4 linked regions of the Neurospora crassa OR74A genome follow. The protein of the gene in region 1 binds, or shares a complex with, the protein of each later gene. Links are inferred from orthologs where the notes say so. Each region holds a gene or a part of one and is shown in the gene's direction. Other genes may lie near its edges. The genes, in order: NCU06216, NCU07679, NCU09063 and NCU02828.

Evidence for each region.
Region 2: NCU06216 (region 1) and NCU07679 share a complex: the UniProt entries of both Schizosaccharomyces pombe proteins name them as parts of the condensin complex. The link is inferred for Neurospora crassa OR74A from reciprocal best matches to the Schizosaccharomyces pombe genes cnd3 and cut14.
Region 3: NCU06216 (region 1) and NCU09063 share a complex: the UniProt entries of both Schizosaccharomyces pombe proteins name them as parts of the condensin complex. The link is inferred for Neurospora crassa OR74A from reciprocal best matches to the Schizosaccharomyces pombe genes cnd3 and cut3.
Region 4: the proteins of NCU06216 (region 1) and NCU02828 are in contact, whole or in part, in a crystal structure (PDB 5OQR), measured with the Schizosaccharomyces pombe proteins. The link is inferred for Neurospora crassa OR74A from reciprocal best matches to the Schizosaccharomyces pombe genes cnd3 and cnd2. Residues at the interface, in NP_588207.1 of Schizosaccharomyces pombe: Ile4, Gln5, Ser8, Gln11, Thr12, Arg39, Ala40, Asn42, Ile43, Ile44, Leu45, Val47, Asn51, Ser52, Asn53, Ala54, Arg56, Val57, His84, Arg87, Gly88, Asp90, Ala91, Lys92, Asp93, Val96, Leu131, Asp132, Arg133, Phe165; in NP_587811.1 of Schizosaccharomyces pombe: Arg477, Asn481, Ala482, Ile483, Asp484, Phe485, Leu486, Gln487, Val489, Val491, Leu494, Phe495, Thr496, Pro497, Lys503, Leu504, Trp509, His512, Arg514, Cys515, Leu516, Leu517, Pro518, Asp519, Asp520, Tyr521, Gln522, Tyr523, Ser525, Arg527.

The regions. Positions count from the first base shown.
Region 1 is NC_026503.1:1,932,245-1,934,476, reverse strand, and holds the end of NCU06216 (nuclear condensin complex subunit 3), read left to right. Parts: coding exon 1-200; intron 201-256; coding exon 257-1,368; 3' UTR 1,369-1,647; downstream 1,648-2,232. Other genes in the region: NCU06215 (transferase), read right to left, coding at 1,811-2,232. UniProt on the Schizosaccharomyces pombe protein: Regulatory subunit of the condensin complex, a complex required for conversion of interphase chromatin into mitotic-like condense chromosomes.
Region 2 is NC_026504.1:2,263,276-2,267,479, forward strand, and holds the start of NCU07679 (nuclear condensin complex subunit Smc2), read left to right. Parts: upstream 1-1,351; 5' UTR 1,352-1,645; coding exon 1,646-1,672; intron 1,673-1,772; coding exon 1,773-1,813; intron 1,814-1,882; coding exon 1,883-4,204. Other genes in the region: NCU16785 (hypothetical protein), read right to left, coding at 1-373. UniProt on the Schizosaccharomyces pombe protein: Central component of the condensin complex, a complex required for conversion of interphase chromatin into mitotic-like condense chromosomes.
Region 3 is NC_026507.1:495,152-499,369, forward strand, and holds the start of NCU09063 (nuclear condensin complex subunit Smc4), read left to right. Parts: upstream 1-1,406; 5' UTR 1,407-1,707; coding exon 1,708-2,880; intron 2,881-2,929; coding exon 2,930-4,218. Other genes in the region: NCU09062 (hypothetical protein), read right to left, coding at 1-406, 482-720, 825-981. UniProt on the Schizosaccharomyces pombe protein: Central component of the condensin complex, a complex required for conversion of interphase chromatin into mitotic-like condense chromosomes.
Region 4 is NC_026501.1:8,976,714-8,981,099, reverse strand, and holds the start of NCU02828 (condensin complex component cnd2), read left to right. Parts: upstream 1-1,586; coding exon 1,587-1,669; intron 1,670-1,772; coding exon 1,773-2,394; intron 2,395-2,448; coding exon 2,449-4,110; intron 4,111-4,306; coding exon 4,307-4,386. UniProt on the Schizosaccharomyces pombe protein: Regulatory subunit of the condensin complex, a complex required for conversion of interphase chromatin into mitotic-like condense chromosomes.

The DNA.
Region 1 (2,232 bases):
AGAGGCCGATGTAGATGATCAGATGGTCAGCATGTCGACCATCGCTGCCTGCTTGGTCGACTGGACGGATCCCAGAAAGTGCTACAACCCCGATGAAGGGTTCAGCGCCGGCCTTGACCCCGAGAAGAAGACCGTTTCGGCAGATGTGCACCTCGACTTCGCCAAGGATATTCTCGAAAGGCTACAAGGAAATGGAGCCAGTACGTATTCATTGTTGCCTCTCCCACCAAATCGTGATACTGACACCCAGACACAGAAGAAGAAAAGCGCATCATGGCCGCCCTTCTCGCAAAGCTCTACATCCCATCCGGCTCCTCTTCCTCCAACCCCTCCTCGCCCATCAAGATCCGCGACGTCTACGCCCTCGTCACCAACGCTGTTGAGAACAACCTCCTCTCCGACGCCACCTCTCGCAACGCCCTCTACAAGGTCCATGTCTCCCTTGGCAAGATTGTCAACGCCCTTGATGCCGCCGCCGAGCAAGATGCCGCCAACAACGCCGCGGGCCGCCATGCCTCCATTGCCTCCGGCGCCACCACCCATAGAAGAAGCGCCAGCAGGGCAGGCAGCGTCGCTCCTAGCCGGGCGGGTAGCGTGGCGCCTCCGGCTAGCGAAGCCAGTGGCGGCGGCGGCGGCGGGGCTGTGTCCAGAGCCGGTTCCGTCGCACCATCTGCGTCTGGTGCTACTGCTGCGCCTGTTAACAGCAGGAAGAGAAAGGAAAGGGAGGTCAGCGTTGGCGTCTCCATCAAGGAGGAGGACGAGAACGAGGACGAGGGCGAGGATGTGGAAATGGGTGGTACGCAAGTGGGCGATAATGATAATGCTGGTGATCGGGAAACAACACCAAAACCAACTGCGACAGAAGCCCAGGAGCCGAGCACGGAACAGAGAAGGTTGTTGAGAGGCGTTTCTCTGAGGAGTAGGAGGCAGAGCTCGCAGAGTGTGGTTAGCGTACAACCGCAGCAGCAACAAGAGGAGGAGCAGGAAGAACAACAACAACAACAACAACCGACAGGAAGGAGAGGGAGTAGGAGGGCTAGTGCGATGAAAGCCAAGGCGCGGTTGAGTGCTGGACGGAGCAGCAGAGCAGGTACGGAGGATATTGCGGAGGAGATACTGGATGATAGTGATGGAGATACGGTGATGGAGAGGACGAAGATTGAGGAGGAGGACGAAGAAGAACAAGAAGAAAAAAAGCGCGAGGACGAGGAACAGGACGATGAGGTAGGAGGGGAAGAGGATGGGAAAGAAGAAGAAGAGGAAGAAGAGGAGGAGGACGGTGATGACGATGATGGAGAGAACGAAGGGAAAGATGATGACGAGCTTGTTGATGAGTTATTGTCGGATGAAGAGGACGACTTCGAATAGGGTTGCGTACGGATTGAAGACGGAGATTCTGGATTGTTGAACTACATATGAACTGACTTGATTGGGTTTGGATGGGACACTACGTAATATATGGAGGCTCTGTGTTTCTGGCTTTGGTTCATGTCGTTTGCTTGCTGTCGAGGCCTGAGCTTCTTGGGCTAAGACGTATTGCCTTGGTTTATTTTGTCCTTGAACATTGCAGGATACCATTGAATGAAATGTCAAAAGGCTTTCTTTGTTTGCTTCCATGCATTTCAACTTTAGCATCTCCTCATCCAAGTGATGCTGAGGAACGATTTCGAGAATTTATCTACTCGTTCTAATCTAACCTTTATATCTACTACAAGCAACCAACACACAATGATCCACACATCCTATCAAACCACCCGGCCCTTCCTTGGGCTCGTCCTCTTGGACAAGATTGTACCACCTCATATTTTACCTAAAATGACCCAAGCCAGAACAACAACCCACTCAGCCCAACATTAATTACCAAATGCTGCACCAAGCTCCAAGCCACGCAGTACAAGTACTTTGGGGAAAATACCGTCCACACGAACAAGTGCGTCCTGAGGATCGTACAAGCCGCCATAACCGCCGCGACACTAAACGCGGTAAACAGCGTCGTCACGGCAACATAGGTCTTGAACGGACTGATTTGCCCCCCTTCAAGCATCTGTTTCGCTTCCGCTTCTTCCTCCTTTTCGTCGCTCCCTCTTTTCCCATTGTTACCGCTACCCAACCTTTTCTGTCTCTGATCTCTCCGCCAAATCTCCCCCAAAAGCACCACCGTCCCAAAAGCCCACCACACCGGTCCCGCCCAGTTCCCCACGTACGTCAAGATGCCAACTAGGACAACGTTGA
Region 2 (4,204 bases), on another chromosome or scaffold:
ACCTTTCTGACCCGGTATGATATGATTCTCCACCGGTAAGCAGTGATGTGGTAAACTCCTGAACGGAGGCCCACGTCGAAGCCCACGAGCCATCGAGCAGACCACGGCCACCCCTGGGGCTACTTGTACGAGCGGAGCCCGCCGCGACCTCGAGTCTAGAATCGTTCCTCCCAGTAACATCTCCTATGCGTGCGGCGGGAATCGGCGAGGCCCCTCTGTCTGAGGTCCTGCTCGGGCTTGAGTAGAGGGAGGATGATGTTGCATTATTCCGGTTGCTCGCTACGCGGCGGTTCCGTGGCCGAAGAGAGTTATCATCCACTTCTGCTGAAGCCGACAAGAGAGCATTCGAAGGGGGGCGCTGCGAGAGACTCATGGCTTTGTGTTGATTGTGTCCTCGCAGGGAGGGCGCAAACCTCGGCGCCTTATGGTTCGTGGTTCGAAGGGAGCATCAGATAGCAGTTGTTCGAGGAACCATGGAGAGGGTGCCCCTTGCTGCTAGGCTGTTATTATTCTCTTTGCAAGTGTGTGACTGCTGGAGACTATGGGCACTGGTCGCAACGCTATGAGTGCCCTCGCTTCGTTTGTTTTTCCTCTCGAGATGCGCCGTAACGTGGAGTTCTCTTTGTAAGTTTATTGATGGAGACGGATTGCTCGCGGTGATGGCCCAATCGGTTGAAGCTGGGCTGGAGATCGGATCCGGTAGGACGTCGAGACAAAGGTACGGCGGGTAACAGGTCGTTGCGATTAGGTGGTTAATTGAAATGCGCGTCATGAAATCACAAAAATGCCACCAATAGCCGAACAATGATCTTGAACGGGAGACGCTCAGTTTGATGGGAAAGCTGGAGGGTGAAAGGTCCAAGAGCTTCCACTTCACTACGGTAGGTTGTGACGAGCTGGAGGAATCGATGCGCAAGCAGGAACGTGCCGTCCAGGTTCCCACTCACGCAGGGCAGTCGTGCCACTGTGTTCTAGTTGGCGGCGTCCCCGGCCTGTGGCCTGAATGGAGGCTCCCATAGGTATCCCGGAGGGGGCTCCCGTCGGCCAGTTCAGGGCCAAGAACCGGGCATAGCGGGGACCATGCCTTGCCTCCCCGGCCATGCCGTGCACTTGAAGGAAAGGCTCCACAATGTGTTTTGGCTCTGCGCCATGTACAAATCAGGCCCGTTTTGCATGGTCTTTTGGTACGTAATGATTTACTGCTCCAGGCCGAATCAAGGGCCTCGCAAGACGGAGAATAGGATCCCGCGTAGAGCTTCCTGATCTTATGTGCGCCAAGCCGAGTTACTTGGGATCTTTGCCGACGAAAGGGTCATCATAAATGGTGATAGACCAAAAAGGGGTACATATACATAGCCAGAGCACGGACCCAGTGTCGCAGAGAGCCACTTGCTACATAATCCCCACCTTTGTGAGCATCGCGCCAGGGGCAGGCGGGCACGTGCAGACGTGAATGCAGGGCGCCCTGTCCTGGCCCACACCCCGCCCTTCCCCCAAACCCAGTGGTGCCTGAGAAAAGTAAACAAACGTTGAGTCCATCTTCCGATCTTGTTGCAATTGTTCGGGCAGGCGCGGGCGTTTCTTACAGCAGCGCCAAAGTCTGAGCCACCACAATCCTCGGGCCCAAAACCACGACGACGCCAGAATGAGGGTTACCGAAGTCATTATCGACGTACGTGTTTCTCCACGGTGCCATCAGTCGCGACCGGACCGAACGTGGGATGCGACAACTTGAAGTCGCGACAGAGCTGACATATTCGTGCCTCACATAGGGCTTCAAGTCGTACGCCGTTAGAACGGTGATTTCGGGATGGTAAGGGCACAAATCCATCAGGGCGATGGAAGGCATCCTCCCAACTGCATAACTAACCGGCCGTCACAGGGATGAGAGCTTCAACTCCATTACCGGCCTCAACGGCAGCGGTAAATCCAACATCCTCGACGCCATCTGCTTCGTCCTCGGTATTACCAACATGTCAACAGTCCGCGCTCAAAACCTGCAGGATCTTATCTACAAACGAGGCCAAGCTGGTGTCACGAAGGCTAGCGTTACCATAGTGTTCGACAATAGAGACAAGAAAAAGTCACCAATCGGATTCGAAGAGTATGCGACCATCAGCGTTACCCGCCAAATCGTGCTCGGAGGCACCTCAAAATACCTGATCAACGGTCATCGTGCGCAGCAACAAACCGTACAGAACCTCTTCCAATCGGTTCAGCTCAATATCAACAACCCCAACTTCCTCATCATGCAGGGCCGCATCACAAAAGTTTTGAATATGAAGGCCGTTGAAATCCTGGCCATGATCGAGGAGGCAGCTGGCACAAGGATGTTCGAGGACAGGAGGGACAAAGCACTCAAGACGATGGCCAAGAAGGAGATGAAGTTACAGGAGATCAAAGAACTCTTGCGGGATGAGATCGAACCGAAACTGGAGAAGCTACGAACCGAAAAGCGCGCATTCCTCGACTTTCAGCAAACACAAAACGACCTGGAGCGATTGACAAGGCTCGTGGTGGCGCACGATTACGTAAGGTGTCAGGAGAAGCTACAACAGTCAGCATCGGATCTTGAGGCGAAGAAGCAGCGCCAGAAAGAACTTGAGGAATCTGCTATCCGGCTGAAAAATGAGATATCCCATCTGGAGGAGGACTTACAACGGGTTAAGGCACAGCGCGACAAGGAATTACGAAAAGGTGGCAAGGCTCAAGCCCTGGAAGAAGCAGTGAAGAAGCACGCCAACGAGCTGGTAAGGCTTGCTACTGTTGTGGATTTGAAGAAGAGCAGTATGAAGGAGGAGCAGGAACGGAGGAAAGCTGGAGAGAAGAACGTTGCGGACCTGGAAGCGGCGCTGAAGGAGAAGACGAAGACGTACGAGAAGATCAAGGCGAAATACGATGCCGCCAAGGAGACGCTTGAAAAGCAGAGGCAAGAAGCAGACACCAAGGAAGAGCTGCTACAAACCCTGCAAACTGGTGTTGCGTCCAAGGAGGGACAGGAGAACGGTTACCAAGGACAACTACAAGACGCGAGAAACAGGGCCACGGCTGCGGCAACTGAACAAGAGCAGGCAAAGATCAAAATCGCCCATCTGGAGAAGCGAATCAAAGGGGAAGAACCCCGGGCCAGGAAGGCCAAAGAGCAAAACGCCGGCTTGCTGAAGGATCTCGATGGCCTGAAAGCCCAGGCTCAGAGGCTTGAGAAGGAGCTTGGAAGGCTTGGGTTCCAACCCGGGACGGAGGAAGAAATGTATAAGCAGGAAAGCTCGCTCCAGCAGACTATCCGCAATCTCAGGCAAGAAGCCGATGCGCTTAAACGCAAGGTGGCAAATATCGACTTCAACTACGCCGATCCAGTCCCAAACTTTGATCGATCAAAAGTGAAAGGGCTAGTCGCGCAACTCTTTTCATTACCCAAAGAGTATATGGAAGCTGGAACAGCGCTGGAGATCTGCGCTGGAGGCCGTCTTTACAACGTGGTTGTTGACACCGAAGTCACTGGCACACAACTACTGCAAGGCGGTAGATTGCGAAAGAGGGTTACCATCATTCCCTTGAACAAGATCTCTGCTTTCAAGGCTTCTGCACAAACGATTGCCAATGCGCAACGAATCGCTCCAGGAAAAGTGCACCTGGCTTTGTCCCTAGTTGGGTACGACGATGAAGTGTCAGCGGCAATGGACTATGTCTTTGGAAATACGCTCATTTGCGCTGATGCAGACACAGCCAAGAGAGTGACGTTCGATCCAAATGTCCGCATGAGGAGCATCACAGTGGAGGGTGATTCGTACGATCCATCTGGTACACTATCGGGTGGAAGTGCCCCCAACTCGAGCGGCGTTTTGGTTACTTTGCAGAAGCTCAATGAAATCAATCGGCAGCTGAAGGAAGCAGAGACCGCCCTCAATGAGCTACGCGGCCAAATTTACCGGGAAAAAACGAAACTTGACCAAGCAAAGAGAATCAAGCAAGAACTTGACCTCAAAGCCCATGAGATCAAGCTAGCGGAGGAGCAAATTGGCGGCAACTCATCATCATCGATCATCCAAGAGATTGCAAATATGAAGGAAACAATAGTCCAACTCAAGCAGTCGATCATGGAGGCCAAGCAGCGACAGGCAGAAGCCACCGCCGAAGCCAAAAGAATCGAAAAGGACATGAAGGACTTTGACAATAATAAAGACGCTAAGCTTGTGGAGCTGCA
Region 3 (4,218 bases), on another chromosome or scaffold:
TCCTTCCTTCCCCGTGCCTCAAGTACTCCTGAAACCAGCTTTCCTCCTCGCCCGTCAACGCCGCGCTAACGAGTTCCTTGCCCCTCGCTCCTAACTTGTCCGGCTGCTCTAGAATGGAAGCTACTAACCTTTCAAACAGCTGCTGGCGGGTCCACTCCGGGTAGCGACGCGAGAAATCGAGTGCTTCGGTGACGTTAGTACGAGCAAGAGCGCCAAAGAGCAGCTCGAGAGCCTCGGATGAAGTAAAGACGGGCTGGGCGGCGTGGAAGTAGGCGAGAGCTAGCGTGTAATCGCTCTGACTGGTGGAGCTGCGCTTGTTGACGAGCGGATGGCGGACAAGGGCGATGGTGATTTCGTCGGCGAATTCGGTGGGGAGGGATGGGTGGGTTAGGTTTTCGATTGCGTACTGTTTAGCAGCGTTTGTTAGCGTCTTGATGTCCAGTGTGCAACTTAGGTTCCAGAACCAAACGGACGTCCGCACCTTGAACTCCATGCGATCCATGTGCCACAGGCCCCTCATAAGGATCTGGTACTTTTTCGGCAGTCCCGTCTCCTCAGCAAAGCTGTCCGCCCAATGCGAACGACCTGGATGGACGTCATCATGGTCGAGGAGGAGATAGTAAAGAACGGATATCTTTTGGATCGACGAGGCGCTGCTCTGGCAGATTTGTTGGTGGAGGGAGCGCAAGCCGTTCTCACCTCTGGGCGGATATGCAGTGCCTAGAGGTAGTTACAGTGGTGATTAGCGATGAAGCGCGCTATAACGACAGGGCATGGGTTGTTAGGGTGATTAGGTGGTAGTGTGGTGTTTACACTACACTAACCTTGGGCGATGCCTAACCGACTTAGGACGCGATCCACAAACAGGACGCCGCCCAATGATTTGCGGAAAGTCTCAATGGCACTGGCTCCCTTGTGATCGTAGGGGTTTATGAATCCCGGAGAGGGGAACACGTTGTTGTATTCTGTATAGTCGAGCATCGTGATGTTGAAGTTGGATTGCACAGTTGAAGTGCCCAAGTGTCCTTAGCTGTTGAATGAATTGAATGGAAAGGGAAAAGGGAAAATCGAAGGGATGGATGAGTGCCGTCATGGCCTGGGATACATGTATGCAACGGCCATCGGGTCCGTCAGGTCCATCCCCTGCACCTGGAATGGAGCCTTCCCCGGATCTGTACCTGCGCTAGGTAACGGCCTGTCTTGGCTTATCGATAAGGTAAGAAAGCCGTAAGCGCATGGAATGTTTGTTACACAGAGCGGGACTCCACCAGCCTGCCACGCATGCAGTGATAGCGCAACACGGTGCGAGCGTTCCAGGCAGCGGAGGGGTCGCCCGCTGCAGTGCACGAATTGCATTGGCTGCCCGTGGCTGCTGTGGCTGATTGTTTACCACCGCAGTCACGGTATTGCAAGAAGCGTCCGTCCAAAAACTGCCCTGAATGTCAACAATCTAACCGCGGCGGGGCAAGGAAGAAGCTGCGACAGCACTCAAAGAGTTTCTGCGTGGGCGTCCCATTCCGTGTCTGTCGCAACAACTGCCCTGCGAAATGTGAATACCATTTTTCATCTTTACTTGTTATTACATAAACTTTCACTCCTTGGTTGTCTGATACCCGCATCTTGCAGCGCTTTCTGTTCCATTCTGTTCTGTTGTTTTCATCATCGAGTCGAGAATTTGCAGGCCGAAACCACCGACAGACATCAGTCATGTCGACGCGCCCATCGCGTCGGGCCGCCGCAACCAGGCGCGCCGCCATCATCGAAGAATCCTCATCAGACGACGATATCGCAAACACCACATCGAGAGGCGCCCAAGATGACGACGAGGAGGACGATTATACACCCGCGCCAGCTTCGGCAGCCCGCAAGACTGCTCAGCGAACCACCAGAAGATCCACTGCCACGCCCGCTCCTAGGGCAGGAACACCAGCAGCAGCATCATCATCAACTGCACCGGCACCGGCACCAAAAGCTGCGCCGAAAAGGCGCGGACGACCTAAGAAGAATGCCGCGCCCAAACCCAGCAAAGAGCCCAGTGTCGAACCGAGTGTCGAAGCGAATAACGATCCCCAAGCCGAACCCGAAGCCCCAGCGCCTGCCGTCAAGCCAAAGGATGAGCCGATCGAGGAGGGTATCGACCCCAATGTGACTGTCGCGTCTGCCGTTTCGCCCGCTACAACCGCCGTGATCGCGGAGCCAGAAGCACGGGATACGCAAGAAATTCAGTCACCCCCGCGGAAGCGTAGAACTCTTGTGCGGCGCCTCAGCAGATCGCCAGCAAAGATCATGCAGCAACAACTCGAGCTGCAACAGCAACAAGCCAGCCGTCAAGGGACACCAACGCCAGGCTCTCCGTCAACTCAACGCGTCGATCGCCAACCTGCTCCTCTACAGGACATCACCCAGACCCTCATCAACCTACCACCTCCAGCGACCGCGGCATCAGAGACCCTTGTCAACACACAGCCAACATCAACAGCAGATGAAACCGTCGTGGCGGCCCAGAAGCCCGTCAGGGCTATGGATACTATTCTGGAAAAGCCCATGGATATTGTGCTCAAGTCACGGACCATGGCTCTTCCCGTCGTCGAGGATACCGGCCCGAAGCCACGCATTGTCATCACCAATCTTGTGCTCATCAACTTCAAGAGTTACGCCGGTAGACAGGAGGTCGGCCCCTTCCATGCTTCGTTCTCTTCGGTCGTGGGTCCCAACGGTTCTGGCAAATCCAACGTCATCGACTCGTTGCTGTTCGTCTTTGGTTTCCGTGCCAGCAAGATGCGACAAGGCAAGATCTCGGCCTTGATTCACAATTCGGCGCAGTTTCCGAATCTCGACTACTGTGAGGTGGAAGTGCATTTCCAGGAAGTCATGGACTTGGTAAGTCAAACATTGTTTTGAAGGGGAGTCATTGTGCTGACATTGATAGCCCGGCGGTGGCCACGAGGTTATCCCCGACTCAACACTCGTCATCTCGCGCAAAGCATTCAAGAACAACTCGAGCCAGTACTACATCAACGGCAAATCATCCAATTTTACCACCGTGACCACGCTACTCCGCGACCGTGGTGTCGATCTGGATCACAAGCGTTTTCTCATTCTCCAGGGCGAAGTCGAATCGATTGCCCAGATGAAGCCCAAAGCCGGCAACGAGCACGAAGATGGTCTGTTGGAGTACCTAGAAGACATTATTGGCACTTCCAAATACAAGACACCAATTGAAGAGTCGGCCACCGAAGTCGAAACCCTCAACGAGATCTGCATGGAGAAGAGTGGTCGTGTCCAGCACGTGGAAAAGGAAAGGAACAGTCTCGAGGACAAGAAGAACAAGGCGCTGGCGTATGTTCGCGATGAAAACGAACTGGCGCTGAAACAGTCGGCTCTCTACCAGCTATACATCAGCGAATGCGACGACAATATTGCTGTCACAGAGGAGGCTATCGGTCAGATGCAGGCACAACTTGACGCTGAGCTTGAGAAGCACCACGGCAGCGAACAGCTCATCAAGCAGTTGGAAAAGGCCTACTCCAAGGGTAGCAAGGAATACGACTCTTGGGAGAAGCAGACACAGCAGCTGGTCAAGGAGATGAACAAGTTCGAGCAGGAACGCGTCAAATTCGAGGAGAAGCGGAAGTTCTTGACGGACAAGCGTAAGAAGCTTGAGAAGACGATCGCTAACGCCGAGAAGACGGCTGTTGAAGCGGAGGAGACCATTCAGAACTGCACCAAGGAGATTGAGCGTCGTCAAAAGGACATTGTTTTCCTGGAGAAGAAGGTCAAGGAAGAGGAGGCCGAGCTTGCGACGATACGTGAGAGCCTCAAGGGCAAGACGCAAAAGTACTCGGATCAGATCGCGGCAAAGCAAAAGTCTCTCGAGCCTTGGAAGGACAAGATCAATCAGAAACAGTCCGCCATTGCCGTTGCGGAGAGTGAGCTGGCCATTCTCAGGGAAAAGGCCAATGCCGGAACTGTGGCCCTTGAGGAGATGGAGACGAAAATTGTGGCCATCCAGGAAAGGCAAGCGGCGAAGGCGGAGGAGATGGAGCAGTGCAAAGCTGAGAGAGCGAACCTGATCAAGGAGGGCAAGAAGATCGAGGCTGAACTTTCCAAGCTTGCGGAGGAGGAACCCAAGTACCGGCAACAGCTTTCGAATGCCCGCCAAAAGGCTGACGAGGCGCGGTCGAGCTTGTCCGCCACACAAAACCGAGGCAATGTCTT
Region 4 (4,386 bases), on another chromosome or scaffold:
ACGGTGATGGATGATGGATGGATGGATGGACCGGCGGGGCAATCGAACGGCAGTTATCGTTGGGTCGCAATCGCAAATGTGATCGCAAGGTACGTATGTTGATGATGGCCGGAATTAAAAAAAAAAAAAAAAAGAGAGAAATTTGCCAGCAGCAGAAATAGAAAAGAAGAAGAAAAAAAAAACAGATAAGGCTACAAGTATGTCCAGTATGGTGTATACGATTGACGGGACGATGGCGTGGCTCGCGTGGGCGGGCGGGATTGCTGTGTTATGTAGGCGGAATGAGATCATCGTCGCAAAGTTGCCAAGGTGATTTCGGGTGGCCAGAAAGGTCGGATTAGGACTGGTGCGTCGAGGTATCCATGCGCCGCTTCTCTGAGACAAGACGATAGATTCATTGCATTGGAGATGGGTAGACGACGGATGGGCGCAAGGTAGGTATCTATTAGTGTAGATACTATAGGAAATAGGTGATTGGGAGAAAGTTGAACGAGAAGATAGAAGCTATCGATGTATGTAATCTAGAGTAGAGGCAAAGGGCAAAGAAGGAAGGCGGGGAATATTAAAAGAGGGTGACCTTCCTGGTTGGGCAGGAGACTGACATATCGCTGTGTTACCGTGTTCCTGATCTCAACAAGTTCCCTGCAGCAACCGAAAAGAAGAAAAAAATAAAAATAAAAAGGAAAGGAAAATCACGGAAAGGTAATGCTACCTTCTAACGTCTGCAGCCCCATGCGCAACCCGGTTGGACATGGAGACGCTGTTTCGGTTGGAGTCTGTCTTGACTGTAGAGTAGGAATACATACCTACTACAGATGCCTACTATACTTCTACAGTGCATACATACGCGAGCTCCAATCGATGCGGGTGAGGTGACCAACAGGAACGGAACTTCCATCTGAACTAACTCAAGAGGCTGTGGATTTGTGGCGACAAGAGAGATGAGTCTTGATCGCATCACAAAGAGGTCAAGACGGGGGAGGTAGCCCATATGCCCTGCCACTTGTACACTAGGTAGAGGTAGATATACGTCTCCTTTCTCTAGTTATGTAGGGAGTGCACATGCGTGACAACTTCGGACTCAGGAACTTCAATCGGAGTTTCAACTCCCCAAGTGAACCCCACATACAAGGTACACGTGTATGTAGTGTAAGTACCAGAAGGGGGGGGGGCTCTGTGTGATCGCCAACGGCCGCCGCATGTAACAGTATGTCCCTTGTACGTGTATGGATGTATCGATGCCCTGTAATGTACCGCTGTACCTGAGCGTAGTACCTTGACTGTAGAGGTAGCTTAGTCATTCGATGCCAAGCCCCCCAGACTTCCTCCCTTCAACTTCCTCACCCCGCTCTTAGTTACCTCTACCATAGTACTGCGTAGTAGGCCCCAGCACGTGCCGCCACCCGTCACCAGCCCGCCCGCTGAGACGTGGATCCGTCTAGCCCGTGTCTGCGCTACCTATCCAGCATTGGCACTCCCATCGTGGTTACGGGCGGGTCAAAGTAAACAAACACCACTGAAAGTCCAAACTAGACAGCGGCCGCCTGGAGCTTCACATCTTGGATAGCTTCGTCAACACCGCCAAGATGCCTCGCCTCAGCACAGGTCCGCGACGGAGCATGAGCAAGGGCCCTGCGGTGCCATCCCCGCTCAAATCCCCCGGCCTCAAGTACGTCTTTTCTTTGAATTGCGAATTGCGAATTGAACGTCTTGTCGCGTCCCTCTTTCATTTTCCTCCCTTGTAACTGACCAGAGATATTCGTCCCGACTAGAATCCCACTAAACGACGACGCCCAAGAAAAGGAACAACGATCGCGAGGACGCAAAGCCCTCCACGAGGCCCAGATCAACCAGCTCAAACTCGCCGCGACCGCAGTCGCAACCCCCGCCCGCAGCGTAATCGACGAAAATGGCACTCCGACCTCCAACGGACCGCGCACCCCGCGTCGCCGCATCTCTGGCAAGGAGAACTTCTCCATCCTCGACGACGATGACAGGCCGGTTGTGGGCGGCGCCGTCGTCACCCCCATGAAGCGCGTCCCCATCCTGGCCAACTTTGAGGAGTGGATGAAGATGGCCACCGACAACAAGATCAATGCCGCCAACTCGTGGAACTTTGCGCTGATCGACTACTTCCATGATATGTCGCTACTCAAGGAAGGAGACGGTGTCAATTTCCAAAAGGCCAGTTGCACGCTGGACGGGTGTGTCAAGATTTATACCAGCAGAGTCGACAGTGTTGCGACGGAAACCGGAAAGCTGCTCAGTGGTTTGGCCGACAGTCGCGACAGCAAGAAGAGGGATAGGGGCGAGGGCGAGGACGGCGGCGATGACGATGAGGAGGAGGACGAGGTGGACGAGAATGGCAACGTACTAAAGAAGCGTAGAAAGAAGGTTGGTTGCTCGGCTCACTGCTACGGGCGGGTTGCATGATACTGACAATTGCAGACCCAACGATCCTCCGAAGCCACCCTGGCACCCTCTTTCGCTTCCCTGCAGCTCAAAAAGTTCGAACTCGAATTCTCAGTAGATCCGCTCTTCAAAAAGGCATCAGCAGACTTCGATGAGGGAGGCGCTAAGGGTCTCCTCTTGAACCATCTGATGATCGATTCGCAGGGTCGCATCGTCTTTGACAGCAGCGACGACGCCATCGACACTCTCGACTCACGCAACCAAAAAGCCGCCGAGGAGAACGACCAAGATGCCGACCCGGACGCCATGGATATTGATGCGATGGAAATCGACGGCCAAACCGAAAAGACCCAGACCCGGACCCAACAACAAGAAGAAGAGGAGGAGGACGATGTGGAGATCGACATTGCCAGTCTTGGTGCTAGGTTCTTTCCCGATCTTGGACGACTAGACGAGATGGATGTGTGCCCATCGCTCAAGACTTTTATCCTCGGAGACCCCTCCGGATCCCTCGATATTCCCTTCCTCAGAGCGCCCGAGGACTGGCGCCAGGAGCAAGATAGAGCCAAGACCCCTGGCCTCGGCAACAAATCCGGCTTCATTATTGATGACGAGAACCCGCTCGGTTTCGATGACGATGATGCGCTGGGCGCATTCGACCTGGGAGGAGACGTTGACGTAGCCTTCGGTGAGGGTGGAGAAGCCTGGGCCCGCGAAGCCGCCATCGAGCCACAAATGATGCGGGTCTTTGACGCCGGTCTAGACATAGGAGAGGGCGAAGGTGGTGACGATGGTGATGGAGTAGACGGCGACCTCGAAATGATCGATCAAGACAAGGGCGATTTCGGCATGGTTAACATGACGAACGCCCAAAAGACGGACCGGCTGCACGAGGACATTCTCAGCTACTTCGACCAAGCCCTATCAAAGAACTGGACCAGCGCCGAGCACTGGCGCATTCGCAAGATCAAAGATGTCAACAAACCCCAAACGGGAGAACCACAACGCCAGCGCAAGGAGAAACAGGCTTTCGAGATCGACTTCTTCACCCCCGTGGATCGCACCCTTCACGACGTCCTGCACACCCAAGCCACCACCAACTCGGCCATTTCGCTGCCCAAGAAGGACTGGAAGTCCAAGTCGCGCAACCTGCTGCCGGACGACAAGCACTTCAGCTCCAAGCAGCTGCTCAACCTCTTCCTCAAGCCCAAGGCCCGTCTCGGCCGCAAGCAGCGCGCCTTTGGCCGTTCCAATGCCGACAACCAAAACCCAGACCAAGTCCCCGAGGGCACCATGGACGAGGCCTTCTGGGCCCAACAAAAAGCGCCGCTGAACCAGGGCCCATCATCGCAAGACGACCATCTACCGCAGGGTGACTACGACGCCAACTTCTTCCAGGATGACGGTCTGCCGTTTGCCAACGGCGGAGACGACGATGACGACGAAGACATGGACGAGGAAGTCTTTGCTGACGCACGGGATCACTTCTCGCCTGGCCCCGGTGGCACGCAAGGGGATGGCGCTGCCGGGAAAGAAGGAACAGCAGGACTGACGATGGACGTGGGCATGACGGGCGCGTTTAACGGGCTGACGGTTACGAACCCGGCCGATTTGGCGTTTGGCACGATGCTGGTCACGCAATCACGAAGAGTCAGGCCCGAGTATGTGCAGTATGCGAGACGGGCCAAGAAGGTGGATGTCAGGAGGCTGAAGGAGGAACTTTGGCGGGGGATGGGGATGGACATGTTGAATGGCGGACGTTTTTTTTTTTTTTTTTTTTTTTTTTTTTTTTCCTCTCTTCTTTTCTCCTCCCTGTTTTTCTTTTCTTTTTTTTTTTTTCTTTTTGTTTCATCCTCTTTTTATTTCTCCCAGTTACTAACAACACGAACAACAGATACCAACAACAACAACAACAACAACAACAAACCCCGAAGACTCCCTCCTCTCCCCACCCCCAACGACGACCCCATCCGC